Linked DNA regions of Macaca mulatta. The main gene of each other region encodes a partner of the protein of the gene in region 2 in a complex. Links are inferred from orthologs where the notes say so. Each region holds a gene or a part of one and is shown on either strand. Other genes may lie near its edges. The genes, in order: LDLRAP1 and AP2B1.

The links.
Region 1: the proteins of AP2B1 (region 2) and LDLRAP1 are in contact, whole or in part, in a crystal structure (PDB 2G30), measured with the Homo sapiens proteins. The link is inferred for Macaca mulatta from reciprocal best matches to the Homo sapiens genes AP2B1 and LDLRAP1. Residues at the interface, in NP_001273.1 of Homo sapiens: Arg834, Gln835, Phe837, Leu838, Trp841, Glu849, Gln851, Ile876, Ala877, Arg879, Val881, Glu882, Gln884, Met886, Tyr888, Glu902, Arg904, Ser915; in NP_056442.2 of Homo sapiens: Asp253, Leu255, Asp256, Ala258, Phe259, Ser260, Leu262, Ala263, Gln264, Arg266, Thr267.

What each region holds. Positions count from the first base shown.
Region 1 is NC_133406.1:215,485,877-215,492,825, forward strand, and holds the start of LDLRAP1 (low density lipoprotein receptor adapter protein 1), read right to left. Parts: upstream 4,209-6,949; 5' UTR 4,118-4,208; coding exon 4,030-4,117; exon of another isoform or gene 3,482-4,029; intron 1,591-3,481; exon of another isoform or gene 1,389-1,590; intron 1-1,388. UniProt on the Homo sapiens protein: Adapter protein (clathrin-associated sorting protein (CLASP)) required for efficient endocytosis of the LDL receptor (LDLR) in polarized cells such as hepatocytes and lymphocytes, but not in non-polarized cells (fibroblasts).
Region 2 is NC_133421.1:45,056,527-45,063,284, forward strand, and holds the start of AP2B1 (AP-2 complex subunit beta), read left to right. Parts: upstream 1-2,866; 5' UTR 2,867-3,226; intron 3,227-6,758. UniProt on the Homo sapiens protein: Component of the adaptor protein complex 2 (AP-2). Adaptor protein complexes function in protein transport via transport vesicles in different membrane traffic pathways.

The DNA.
Region 1 (6,949 bases), on a different chromosome or scaffold from region 2:
CGAAGCTTGCAGTGAGCTGAGATCCGGCCACTGCACTCCAGCCTGGGCAACAGAGCAAGACTCCGTCTCAAAAATAAATAAATAAATAAATAAATAAATAAATAAATAAATAAATAACAGGGACAATAGGAGTATCCACCGCAGACGTGGTGGCTCACGTGTAATCCTAGCACTTGGGAGGCTGAAGCAGGTGGATCACTTGAGGTCAGGAGTTCAAAACAGCCTGGCCAACATGGTGAAACACCGTCTCTACTAAAAATACAAAAAAATTAGCTGCGCATGGTGGCGGGCACCTATAATCCCAGCTCCTTGGGAGGCTGAGGCAGGAGAATCACTTGAACCAAGGAGGTGGAGGTTGCACTAAGCCAAGATCCCAAGGCTGCACTCCAGCCTGGGCAACAGAGGGAGACTCCCTCTTAAAAGAAAAAAAAAAAAAAGAGTATCCATCCATGGGATTGTTTTGAGGATGAATTGAGTTCACACCTGAGGTGAGCTTAGAACCCTGTCTGGTACATACCAAGTATCACAAGTGTGAACTACTGTCATTACCAATGGTCAAATGCAAAGAGCTTTAACATGTCCATGGCCATTCTCATACTGAAAGAAGAGTCCAGGATAGATCAGTGTTCCCATTTCACAGATAGAGAAGCCCAGAGGAGTCTGACCATGGCTCACTATCGACAGCACTGGGACTCCAGTCCACACCTGCCTCCTGCAGCCCAAGCCCCTTGGTGGGATCAGGCAGAGCTCTGTAGGGCTGCTCAAAAAGAGTATCTGACCCTCAGTGGGCAGTGGGTGACCTCTGACTCCTTCAAGCCACATGCCCCTCACACAGCCCCCAGGCCCGTGAGAAGCAGAGTCTTAGGCTCCAGTTCACCATTCCCTGCACTTGCTGTTCCCTCTGGCTGGAACGCTCTTCCCAGACTCCTCCCTCCTGGGATTCACCGGTGTGTACTGAGTCACCTTCTCACAGGGACCTTCCCTGGTGCTGTCAATGGCCGCCCTTATCCCCTCTGCATACCACTTCCATGTTGTGCTGACTGCCAGCACCTGCCGCTCTACCTGCTGGAGATGCTGAGGCCGGTGCAGACTGGGGAATGAAGATGTCCCATCCCCAGGAGTCCTCCCCTCCGGCAAGGTGCTGCCCTTCTCTGGGCTTGTTTCTCCACAAATAAGCAATGCTCATGCTAATCCTAGTGGGGACCTTGACGGGGAGGAACAGGTCACAACTGAGAGCAGCGTTCGAGTCTAACTTTAACTCCACTGGCTTCAGTTTGGCCTCAAAACTCAACCACAGGGACCAGGTCCAAGGCCCGGATGGGTCACAACCCTGAGCAAGGTGACCCTAGCACCCCCACCCCCACATACCCCATGGCCCCTGCTCTAACCTGTGGCCACTGCTGTCAGAGGCTGCCAGCCCAACCTGGGGTGGGTGAGGACTGCTCCCAGCTCCTCCCATGGCAGAATCCACCAAGACCTCTGCGCTAGGAATGTGGAGCTCTGCCTCTTAGACGTTCTGTGTCTGGGGCCAATGACTCCAATGCTCAGAATCTCAGTTCCTTTGTCTCTAAAATGGGCCTGCTCTGTCACCTCACAGGAGTCAATGAGAGAATGGAAGCAAAAACACGTTGTAAAACAGTTACAAAAAAAGTAGTTACCATTTACCAAAGTCTTCCTCTATGCCAGGCAAACGCAATTTCATTTGATCCCCACAAACAGTTGGAGGCAGGTACTACTGTTATTTGCAATTTACAGGTGAGGAAATTGAGACCTCATCACGAGGGACAGGTGGGGCTCGGCCCGCCCTCCTTCAGGTCCAGAGGCTCCAGGACAGCACTCTGGGCTTACTGGGGCCTGGAGGAGGGAGAGAGGTGCTCCTCTCCTTTCCTCCAAAGGTGCAGACGAGCTCTGGGCCCCCAAAACCCATCTCACCCCAGTACTAATCATGCTGGCGGCGTCCCAAGGATAGGCAGGGGGAAGAGGAGCAGGGCAGAAGAAAGCCACCAGTTAGGAGGGAGCATTATTACCAATAATCTCCTTGATACTCCTGCCAGGTAAGAGTTTTTATCCCCATGTTGCAGATGAGGAAACCAAGCATCAGAAAGGACAAGTGACTTGCCCAAGATTGAAGATGGCAAGAGAAATTCTCGGCCGGGCGCGGTGGCTCAAGCCTGTAATCCCAGCACTTCGGGAGGCCCAGGCGGGCGGATCACAAGGTCAGGAGATCGAGACCACAGTGAAACCCCGTCTCTACTAATAATACAAAAAATTAGCCGGACGCGGTGGCGGGCGCCTGTAGTCCTACTCAGGAGGCTGAGGCAGGAGAATGGCGTGAACCCAGGAGGCGGAGCTTGCAGTGAGCCGAGATCGCGCCACTGCACTCCAGCCTGGGCAACAGCGTGAGACTCCGTCTCAAAAAAAAAAAAAAAAAAAAAAAAAAAAAAAAAAGAGAAATTCTCTTCCACCATCCAAAGTGGCTACCTCTTCTGCGTCCCCAGATTCAGAGATGTTTCTTTCTAGCCTCCCTTCTCTTGCCAGCCCCCCTTCCTTCAAAACCACTTCCCCGGGGGCTGCCCTGCCACACTCCCGCCCTCATTCCTGGAGAAAACCGCAGGATTCTCCCGCTGGAACAGATGGCCATTCTCAGAAGTTCTGGTCAAATCTTGCCAGTTTTTAAAGGGTCTATTTTGGGAGGCAATCAGTGTGATAAACGGTGCATCCCCTGGCCCACTGGCCCAGCCCTAATGGGTCTCTGACACCACCCCCCACCAGCAGGCACCACCCCACATTCCCAATGCCAATGCCAGTCTCAGTTGGGAGGCGGCCACAGCTGAACAACAGAGTGGGGCCAGAGGAGGAGCAAGGCGGGCCCTCTAGGCCCAGACACGCTGGCATTCCTGGGACCAGGGAGCTCGGGCTCCCCTGGTGGAGCCCTGTAAGGCCAAGAGGGAATGGGGTGAGGGGGTGCTGTACTGTCAGTTGTTTCCTGATGAGGGGAGAGGCTGTGGCCCGAAGTGGCTGGCAGGGAGGTGGGAGTGTGCAGCAGTCCTGGGTTCTGGCTCCAAAACCGGCAGGAAGGTCTGTGTGACCCCAGGCAAGCCACTCTCTTCTCCCTCCCAAACAACGAGACCTGCGACCTGCGCTGGGCTGGTCTTCTGGCTTCAGGGGAAGGTGCCAGGTGACAAGTTCCTTGAGCGTAACCAGAGACAGGGAGAGAAAGAAGCCACGGGGAGGCCCCTCCCAGCCTCCCAGACGCTCCAGGGAGAGGTGACAGCGAGTCTGCCGTTGGCCTGGGCGCCCAAGGGACTTTAGAAGCCCGAAGGGAAAGGTGCGAGAGAAAACAGGTTTCAAAAATAGTTGGGACGCCAGGCTCGTCACCTGGACCCGACTAGAGGAAGGGACGCAGGGGTCTAGACCGCCTCATGTAGGGCTCTCCCGAGGCACCCCAGGCGGGGCCTCTCTCCCAATTTCAAGTACGTACCTGCGACCCCGGGCTCACACCTGGGTGGGTGTCTGGACACCCGGAGTCAAAAGTTGGCCCGGTGGGTCGGACAGGGGGCGGGAGAACGGGCCAGTGGGCTCCCGCCCGCCGCAGCCGCTGGCTGGGGCGCAGGGGTGCGGGACGGGGGCGTCTTTCCAAGCTCCTGCGCCCTTTCCTCCTCCCTCAGGCACCGACGACCAGGGCCTGCCTCCCCCTAGCTGGCCAGGACAGCAGGGCGGGAGGTGCCGCGGGTGGCGGGGACCTCTTCTCCCAACCTGCACCCCACCCCATGCCGGCTGCACCTGGGGACCTCGAGCTCGGGCTCCTTCCTCAGCGCTGCCCCTCCTCGCAGCGGCACCGAGCGGCCGGGGAGTAGGTGCGCAACTTGACCCCGGCCGACCCCCTGCCCCGCAGGGCCGGGAAAGGGCCACGCCGGGACCTGAGCGCCGGTCAGGCCCCGCCTCTGCCCAACTTGGCCGCACTCCGGGCGCCGGCGGAGGCCCCGCGCGCCGACCCCGGCCCGGCCCGGCCGACGCGCGCACACTCACTGCGGTGCCGGCCGCCGCCCCCCCAGCTCTGCTTGGCCAGGCTGGGGCTCCGGATCAGCGCCCGCCCCGCGGACTTGAGCGCGTCCATGGCCCGCTCCGGCGCCGCCACCGCTGCCGCCACCAAAACTCCGTCAGGAAAAACTTTCCGCCCGGCCCTGCAGCGCGCGGGCTGCGCGCTCCTCCCCTCCCGGCGCGAGCTCCGCCGCGGCGTCCGACGGGGCGGGGCAAGGAAGGACAGGCCACGCCCCCAGGCGGGCCCCGCCCCCGACCGCCGATCTCGCCCCGCCTGGTCCCTGTCCAGGCCCAGGGTCCAGGCCCCAAGAGCTTCTGAGGCCGCCCGAAGGCGCCAGAAGATAGCGAATCGCAAGCCCCAGACGCCCCCGCTTTCCTCCTTCTCCCCAATCCCCACCCCGTAGGAGCCTGCGGGTCTGAGAGCAGCGGCCTAGATTTCCAGTGACCATTTTACAGATGGGGAGACTGAGGGCTCCTCCAATGGTGAAAGGTCTTGTTCAGGGACAAGAACAATGCGATGTCCAGGGCAGTGGGAGACTTAGGAAAGAGTGGAGGCTGTAAATCAGGGATATCCAGACTTTTGGCTTCCTTAGGCCACATTGGAAGAAGTGTCTTGGGCCACACATAAAATACACTAACAACAGCCCATGAGCTAAAAAAAAAAATATATATATATATATATATATACACACATATATCTCTCAAAAGAAAAAAAAAACTCATGAGTTTTTTTTGTTTTTTTGGTTTTTTTTCCTGAGACACAGTTTTACTCTGTCGCCCAGGCTGGAGTGCAGTGGTGCGATCTCGGGTCACTGCAACCTCTACCTTCCGGGTTCAAGCTGTTCTCGTGCCTCAGCCTCCCGAGTAGCTGGGATTACAGGCATGCACCACCATGCCCGGCTAATTTTTGTATTATTAATAGAGATGGAGTTTTATCATGTTGGCCAGGCTGATCTCGAACTCCTGACCTCAAGTGATCTGCCTGCCTCAGCCTCCCAAAGTGCTGGATGGCTGTAAGCCACCGCACCCGGCCCAAAAAGTCTCATAATGTTTTAAGAACCTTTACGAATTTGTGTGGGGCCCCATTCGAAGCCGTCCTGGACCTCACATGGCCAGTGGGCCACAGGTTGGACAAGCTTGCAGTATAGACCCTTGTTAGGCGCAGGGTCGGTATATAAAAGTTTGCCCTTACTTTACTCATCCACGTAGCTCCCTGGCTGCTCCCTGGCACCACCTGAGCATGCTGGGCCACCCCATGCCCCTGCAACTTCCCAGGTAGCCTCAGAAATGGTATGATCTGGAATGTGCCCCTGACACTGACTTGCTGTGTGACCTCAGGCAAGTCCTTCCCCTCTCTGAGTCTTGTTTTTCTGTGAATGAGAGTCAATGCTATCTCTAGTGATCCTTCCAACCTGCCAGGGTCAAGAATCTGCATGACCTTGACCCTGACCCCATGCTGCTTCCTAGGAGCATTCGGAGGGCAGTCTGAACCCCAGAACTGCTCAGGCACAGATGTTCTAACTCCAGGATTGGAAGGATTTATTCTAACTCTCTAGGATGCCGTGCCTTCCTTTCAAACTGTGCCAAAAGTAGCCAGAGGGAGGACACACACATCCAAGCCACAGCCTGGCTTCTTTTAGAAGAGGGTGCCGCAGGCAAGGCCAACTTCAGCCTCTGTAATTACTCCCAGCTCAGAAGCCAGCAGTCTTCTCTGTGTCGGGAGAAACATAGCACTGTGCTGTCCCCAGCTGGATAGGGTGGCCTCACTGACATTCCCCTGTTTATAAACCAAGTGCTTTGTTAGCCAGTCTGTCCTTGGCTTCCCCAGCAACACTGCTTAGGTGGACCCACTTAACAGATGAGAGCCCTAGGTCAGGGAGGGAAGCATTCACTGATAGTCTCCGAGAGTCAGAGATTGGGATCAGACTCAGGCCCATAGGCGATGGGGTAGAGTATAATGCCAGGGGTTAGAACTCAGCTGTCCTTTTGGTGGTTGTGAACTCACCCTTCTGAGCCTCATCTGTAAAAGGGGCAACTGTACCTATTTCACGGGGCTATCCGTAAGGACTAAATAACAGGAGTTGGAATGGCTGAATCCTGTTCTTGAGAACCTACCTTTAAAGTTGCCTCCTCCAGGAAGCCTTCCCTGACTACCACCCATGGATTAAGTTTCTCTTTGTGGGCGCCCACAATCCTGAACTTTCAGCACTGCAAGCACTGCTGCTGCCTGTTTATACTCTTCTCATCTCCATTAGACTTTGTACCCTCCAAAAGCAGGAAGTTTTTCTGATTCATTTCTGAATCCCAAATGCCTAGTAAGGGGTCCAAATGGAGTTGGAACACAGTCAGTGTTCCTATCCTTCCTCCCTCCTTTCCTCCCCTTCTCCCTTTCTCCAACTTTTCACCAAACCAGGCTGCCTTCTGCAAAAGGGCTGTGGCAATAGGTAGGTGGGTCCGCAGGGCTGAGCCCCCCGGCTCACTTATCCCGAGCCAGCTAGATTCTGGAATAGTAGAGAGAGCATTCTGGAGCAGGGAGGAAAAGTGATCCCCCAGGGCAGACTGGCCAAGGGCAGCTGGTGGTGTCCGGCTGGCAGGGGGCACCATATGGGCCTGATAAGCAGGAAGGCCTGGGAACTCTGCGTGTGCAACGAAAGCTGTTTACCGGCCTTTGCAGTTTCCCGGAGATGGCTTGCTGGGAGCTGTCAGCCATGTGTCCCCTGCAGAGGGGCAGCCTGCTAGTGCCCCTTCTGCCAGTCGCAGAAACAGAAGCAGAAACAGAATGTCAGAGCTGTGAGTGGCCTCCTCTGAGGTCACTGTGGCCGAACCCTCATTTCACAGATGAGGAGGCTAAGACCCAGAAAGGGATAGGGACTTGTGCAAGGTTACACAGCAAGCCAGGAACAAATGC
Region 2 (6,758 bases):
TGTGTGTGTGTGATGGGGCTAGGCCTCACATGGGTAAGAGTGAACAGATTGATATAGTCCCTACTTTCATGAAACTCCGAAAACATCCTAAAATATACTATTCTGCTTTTCCTCCTACCTCTCTGACTGCTCCTTCTCAGTTCTCTTTGCATTTTTGGGTTTATCTGTTTCTTCCCCAAGCTCTCCACATTCTTCATGAATAATGTTCATGCCTACAGATTGAATTATCATCTGTATGCTCACAGTTCACAAATTTAACTCCAGATCATTCCTTATCTTCAGACACATATAATTAAGTACCTCTTGGATAGAGATCTTCACTCTAACCTAACATATAAAATGAACTCATCACCTCCCTCTCATTCCCCAAACTTCTGCCATCTCTTATATTTTCCTATTTTCAGTGACGAGTACCACCATTCATCCCTTGCCCAAACCTAAAACATAAGCCTTATCAGTACTAGTGTCAGACTTCCTGGGTTCAAATCTTAATTCTACCTTGTGTGTGTGTGTGTGTGACAGGGTCTTGCTCTGTCATCCAGGCTGGAGTGCAGTGGTACGATCTCAGCTCACTGCAAGCTTCGTCTGGCAGGTTCACGCCATTCTCCTGCCTCAGCCTCCCCAGTAGCTGGGACTACAGTTGCCTGCCACCACACCTGGCTAACTTTTTTGTATTTTTAGTAGAGACGGGGTTTCACCGTGTTAGCCAGCATGGTCTCGATTTCCTGACCTCGTGATCCGCCCGCCTTGGCCTCCCAAAGTGTTGGAATTACAGGCGTGAGCCACCATGCCCGGCCATCTTAATTCTACCTTTTAACTTCTCTGTATCTCTTAAAATAGAGGAAGTAATGGTACCTGCCTGGTTATCAGGTAGGTAGTGAGGATGTAAAAATGTACTTAGCAGAGTAACTGACATAAAATCATACTCAATAAATATCAACAGTTACTTGTTTAAACCACCATCATCATGTGGCTGGATCATTTCAACAGTTTCTTGAGTGATCTCCCATTAGATTATGAGCCCGTGATGGTCCCAAAAGGTGAAAAGAAGGGAGATTGGTCAATACTTTCACCTAAAAGTGGAAGAGAATGAGGTTGGAAAAGCTTTTCGATTGATGCTGTATTTTGAAAATAGCATTGGTTCATTTTTCCTTAAAATATATGCATTTTTCAGAGAAAGGATTGGAAAATAAAACAAATATAAAGAAGATAACATTTGTAATCAGCACCCAGAGAGAACCACTAATAGGTATATATACGCCTCTGGATTTAGAGTTTTGTATCTTTCTTTTATTCTTATCATTTCAAAGCATTTTTCTGTATCATATTTTTCAACAATATGATTTAAAAGGCACATCCCAATCATATAAATAAATACATGTTCATTGTATTTGAAAAGTACAGAAAAATATTAGGAAGAAAAGTAAAACTCTCACTATTCCGCAATAACCACTTTTAACATTGTGCTGAATATCCAAGCTTTTTTTTTTTTTTTTTTTTTTTTTTTGAGACGAGTCTGGTTTTGTTACCCAGGCTGGAGTGCAGTGGCGAGATCTTGGCTCACTGCAACCTCCACCTCCTGGGATCACGTCATTCTCCTGCTTCAGCCTCCTGAGTAGCCGGGATTATAGGCATGTGCCACCACACCAGCTAATTTTTGTTTTTTCAGTAGAGACGGGGTTTCACCACATTGGCCAGGCTGGTCTCAAACTCTTGACCTCAGGTGATCTGCCCACCTCAGTCTCCTAAAGGGCTGGGATTACAGGTGTGAGCCACCATGACTGGCCTATCCTAGCCTTTTTTTTCTATACATATATAGTCATACCATATACTATATTGTTTTGTATCCTATTTTTACTTAACACTTTATGAATTTTCTGTCATAAAATATTCTATAACATTATGCAGCTATCTGATTTACCATAAGTGTTTACATTATCTCTCTTTATACCTGGCTTTCCAATTTCCCCTATTCCTCTATTTTAATAACAGGAAATAATAATACATGAGTATGTTATACAAAATTTTAATGTACTTCTGATCACTTTTTTAAGAATGAAGTTTTAAAATACTTAAACACTTTCTGACTCACAGAGTTCATGGGCAAAATGTGAGAAAAATAAATAATCACTTTGCTCTCCATCCTTCCTTACACCCTGAAATTAACCTTAGGGACAGCTAGTTCATTTAACCTCATCAATCTTGTTCTCCAGTTCCAGGTCCTGGAATCTAGGTCTTAGTTTCCGAAAGAAACTTACTTTTGTGTAAGCACACCTATTATATACTAGGCACTTGACCTAATTTATCTGGTTTACGCTTCACATGCCCGAGAGAGATACTATCATTGTCTTCATTTCACAGATAAGAAGATTGAGGAGACATTAACTTTCCCAGTCACATTCAGGGTAGGGATTCAAACTCACATCCAATGCCTCCTCAACCTCTTTTACCTGCACCACTATCCTCTAGCCCCACTGCCCGTATATAGCCCTGGGTTATATCACCATTGTCCGCTCTTGAGCCTGGAAGGAAAATGAGCTGAGGGGTTTTGTTTTTTCACAAAGGAACAGGATATTTCATCATCTCTGTGTTTACGTTTTTCAGAGAATTTCTGTGCGAGGTAACAAATCCATTGTCAGCGTTTTAAATATATTCCTTTGGAGTAGCCACTTAACATCCTCTGAGGCCCAGATGGGCCAGCTTTGCTGGGACCATGGGAAATGTTTGGGGCTGGAAGGCGACAGAGATTACCGCCTTGCTAGGTCTCCCGCGCACCCCGATGACGTCACGCGGCGAGGTTCTCTGACGTCAGAGTTTCCTGCCCACCATCTTTGTCCCTGGCAAAGTGGGTTTTGCGCAGTGGCTTAGACCTAGAAAAGAATCGTGACGGGCAGGAAACCATTACACCACCACCCGGGCTGTGCTCTCCGGCTCCCGCCGCCACCCCCGCCCTCGACTTCGCCTCCGCCTCCGGTGAGTTCAGGGAGGCTGCCTTTGGGGTGTGTCCCTAATTGACGGGGTGGGGGACGAAAAGAAGGGGAACCCCAGGCTGGGTCGAGGACCGGCGGAAGCGAGGATATCCTAAGAGCGTGACCGTTGAGGATACAGGGAACCGTCGGGTGTGACCAGTGAGAGGAAAAAGGTTGGAGAAAGGGTCTCCACCATGATGACTGTGGTGCGGTGAGGGAATCCTCGGGTGTGGCAGCAAGTAGTTGGGGGCATGAGGGTAAGATGTACTTCGGAATTGGGGGTTTAGGAGGACCAGAGGCCAGGGGTGTGGCTGATAGAGCCTGGAGGCCGTGGGGGGAACCGTCTTTCTTCCCCGCTCGGCGTCGTTCACTAAGAGTCACTAAGAGTCTGAGACGTGTCCAGCAAAAGCGAAAGGGAAAAACCCGTTTGCTCATTGATGGGCGAACGTCGTCTGTCCAGTAACTTGAGGGTAAGAGACAACCTCTTCCCTGCTCCGTAATGGAGGAGCATATCGCTAGAATCTTGACCACTTGGGGAAAGAAGAGGCATTCCTGACTCTTGGAGGAAGAGTAACCTCCAGAATTGACCCGATGTAAGAGAGGGGGAAGCAAATGGGGGTAAATCTTAACCCACCTTTTTTTTTTTTTTTTCTTCTTTTTCTGGGCTCTGCGGGAATGGTCTGGCTTGGGAAAGGCTGTAGATTAAGCTGAAAGTAAAGAAACTGGAACTTACTGTTATTTCCTTATCATTTGAATCCAAATAATTTGTTCATGCTGCTTATTTTCAAGAGCAGTCTTCTGTTGGAGGGGTGGGGTGGGGGGACAGGCTTTCATTGAACTCACGCGGATGCTTCATTAAACGTTTGACTTTTATTTTATTTTATTTTTATATTTTCAGTGACAGGGTCTTACTGTGTTGCCCAGTCTAGTCTAGAACCCCTGGGCTCAAGCGATCCTCCCTATTCGGCCTCCCACAGTGCTGTGATTACAGGCGTGAGCCAGAGCGCCCAGCCAAACTTGACTTTTGAAAAGAAAAAATGTTTTGAAAACCGCCAAAGACTTATCGTAACCATTGTGGTTTAAAAGAAAATGCATTAAACTTACAAAGGCAGAATGACTAAGAAAGAAGGTGGTCTCAATGAGAATCAATTTAAATTATTAATTACCTTCCTTGTATACTTGAATTGCTTAGCCTCAGGGTACACTTACAAAGTAATAATAGAAAGTAGCAGATGAAGGAGGTGCAGCTCTATAAGAAAACGTGTAACACATTCCAGTGATGACTAAGCGTGCTGGTAAGGTGAGAACTGTTTGCAGGTATCTTAACCGTTGAAACTTTCAAGGAAGCAGAAAGGGTGATGTATAATGCAAGCATCCTCACTAAAAGCTGGGTGGTAAAATCAATATAAATCTAATATTCTGACTGTATATGAAGAAACTCAAGTCCAGTTCTTTCATTCTTTCCGTCCTTAAAAGATCCATATTTTGAAGTACTAACTTTTTAGGCACAGGTTTGAACCAAGCTGAGCAAGGAATATATTAAATAGGGCACCTTCTCCTTTCTCTTGTCCTTTCTTTCCTTCCAGGCTTAAGTTTTCCAGAGTTTAATGTTATTTTGGTTAAGAATTAGATGTAAAACTTTTGAACTCCTTTGCTTCTATATAATATTAAGAAGCTACTTTGTAGTCTAAGTAGAAATCACAGGTGATTTTAGCTTTTGTGTCGTAATTTCTTATGAGAAAAATAATACCTGATGATGCTATTGTCTTTGCATTATTACTGAATATTTGATTAGAAATGAATTTGGCACCTCTCACCCTTACAATAAAAGATTACTGGAATGACATTTCTGCTTTATAATTTGGTTAACTTTGTTCTGTTTTTTACTGTGAGCACTGAGCTTTGTAAAATCCAACTTTGTGAAAAGAAGGGTTTAGGGACTTTACGAACTAATTTGGCTTCCCAGAGAGCCATTTGAATTAAGATCCTATTAATTTTTTTTGACCTTATTCTACCCAAGGTATTAATCTTATTTTGCTGCTCAATTTCTCTTTTAGGGAACTGGAGGGAGGTATAGGAGAGGAGGGACTTTGACAACCTATATTTCATAGAAACTAGGTTATGTTAAATCTGGATATGTAATCCTGTGCAGGGAGGCCTACTCCGAAATGCAGTGACATCACACTCTGGTCAGGGCAAGTAAGAGTGATTATGTGCTTTGACTCTGGCAGCTTTGTTGTTTAACAATGGCCTTAGGCCATATCATAAATCCTCAGAACAGCCGTGACTTGTCTGGTTTGATCTGGTAGAAAGGTAGTGTTAGTTCAAATTCCGTCATGGCTTTGCTTATTTCTCTGGCTCTTCTGAAGGAACATTTTCTCCCCCAAAGGAGCAGCTTGATTTTTGAGGCACTTCAGCAAATATTTGAGTTTTTTTGTTTTTTTTTTTCTTGAGCTCTATTTTGTTTACTTTTTCTGTTACTTCTAATGAAGATGTCAGTTTTTGCCATCCTGTATTTTGGAGACTCTGGCTATGTCCATATCTAGCATGTGATTAAATGTGTCTCTCATTATATGAGGTAAGAACTCACTATATGAGAGATACACTTAATCATATATATGTGATTATTTTTTTGAGGTGAAATTCACGTACCATAAAATGAACCAGCTTAAGGCATACAGTTCAGTGGAATTTAGTACACTGACAGTGTTGTGCAACAATCACGTCTTCTATTTGTTTTTATTTAGACGATTTTCATTTTTCTTGGAGTTTCTTTTGGCTTAAGGCAACAACCAGCTTGGCACCATGTTTCTCTGCCAATATGGATAGGGAATATTGTTTACAATAGTGTTGCTTACTACAGTGATATCCCTTCTCTTTAGAGCAGCAGGGACTCTTAATTTAGAATCTATGTTATGGGCTTCTAAAGATACTTGACCCTCCTCTCTTCCCTGAAATTTTGTGGGTGGGTGCATTATTTTCTAGTTAAGATGAAAACACTTAATGCTCACAGTGAACAGGACAGTAATATATTCCTTGACATTGAAATTGTTACAGATAATGAAATATGTGAGCTGTTAAAGGCATGACTTAAGACTTAGGTTAATTTATTGTTTAATAGAATGTAGTGAAAATTCCTGTAAAGAATTTACTCATGCCTGTAATCCGAGCACTTTGGGAGGCCGAGGTTGATGGATCACTTGATGTCAGGAGTTCCAGACGAGCCTGGCTAACAAGGAAAACCCCCTCTCTACTAAAATACAAAAATTAGCCGGGCATGGTAGTGGGTGCCTGTAGTCCCCGCTACTCTGAAGGCTGAGGCAGAAGAAATCGCTTGAACCTGGGAGGCAGAGGTTGCAGTGAGCCCAGATCGAACCACTTCACTGGAGGCTGAGATCGAACCACTGCACTGGAGCCTGGGCCACAGTGAGACTTTGTCTCACAAAAAAAAAAAAAAAAAGATTTTAATGGGTTGGGCACGGTGATCCCAACATATAGTCTCAGCTACTCGGGAGGCTGAGGTGGGAGGATCACTTGAGCCCAGAAGGCGGATGTTGCAGTGAGTCCCAGCTGGGACTACAGGCATGTGCCACCATGCCCGGCTAATTTTTGTATTTTTATTAGAGATGGGGTTTCGCCATGTTCCCCGGGCTGGTCTCGAACTCCTGAGCTCAAACTATCTGCACACCTCGTCCTCCCAAAGTTTTGGGATTACAGGCATGAGCCATCGCGCCTGGCCAAAAAAAATTTAATGCGTGTGTGTATAAGACCCTTTTCAAAGAAATTGGG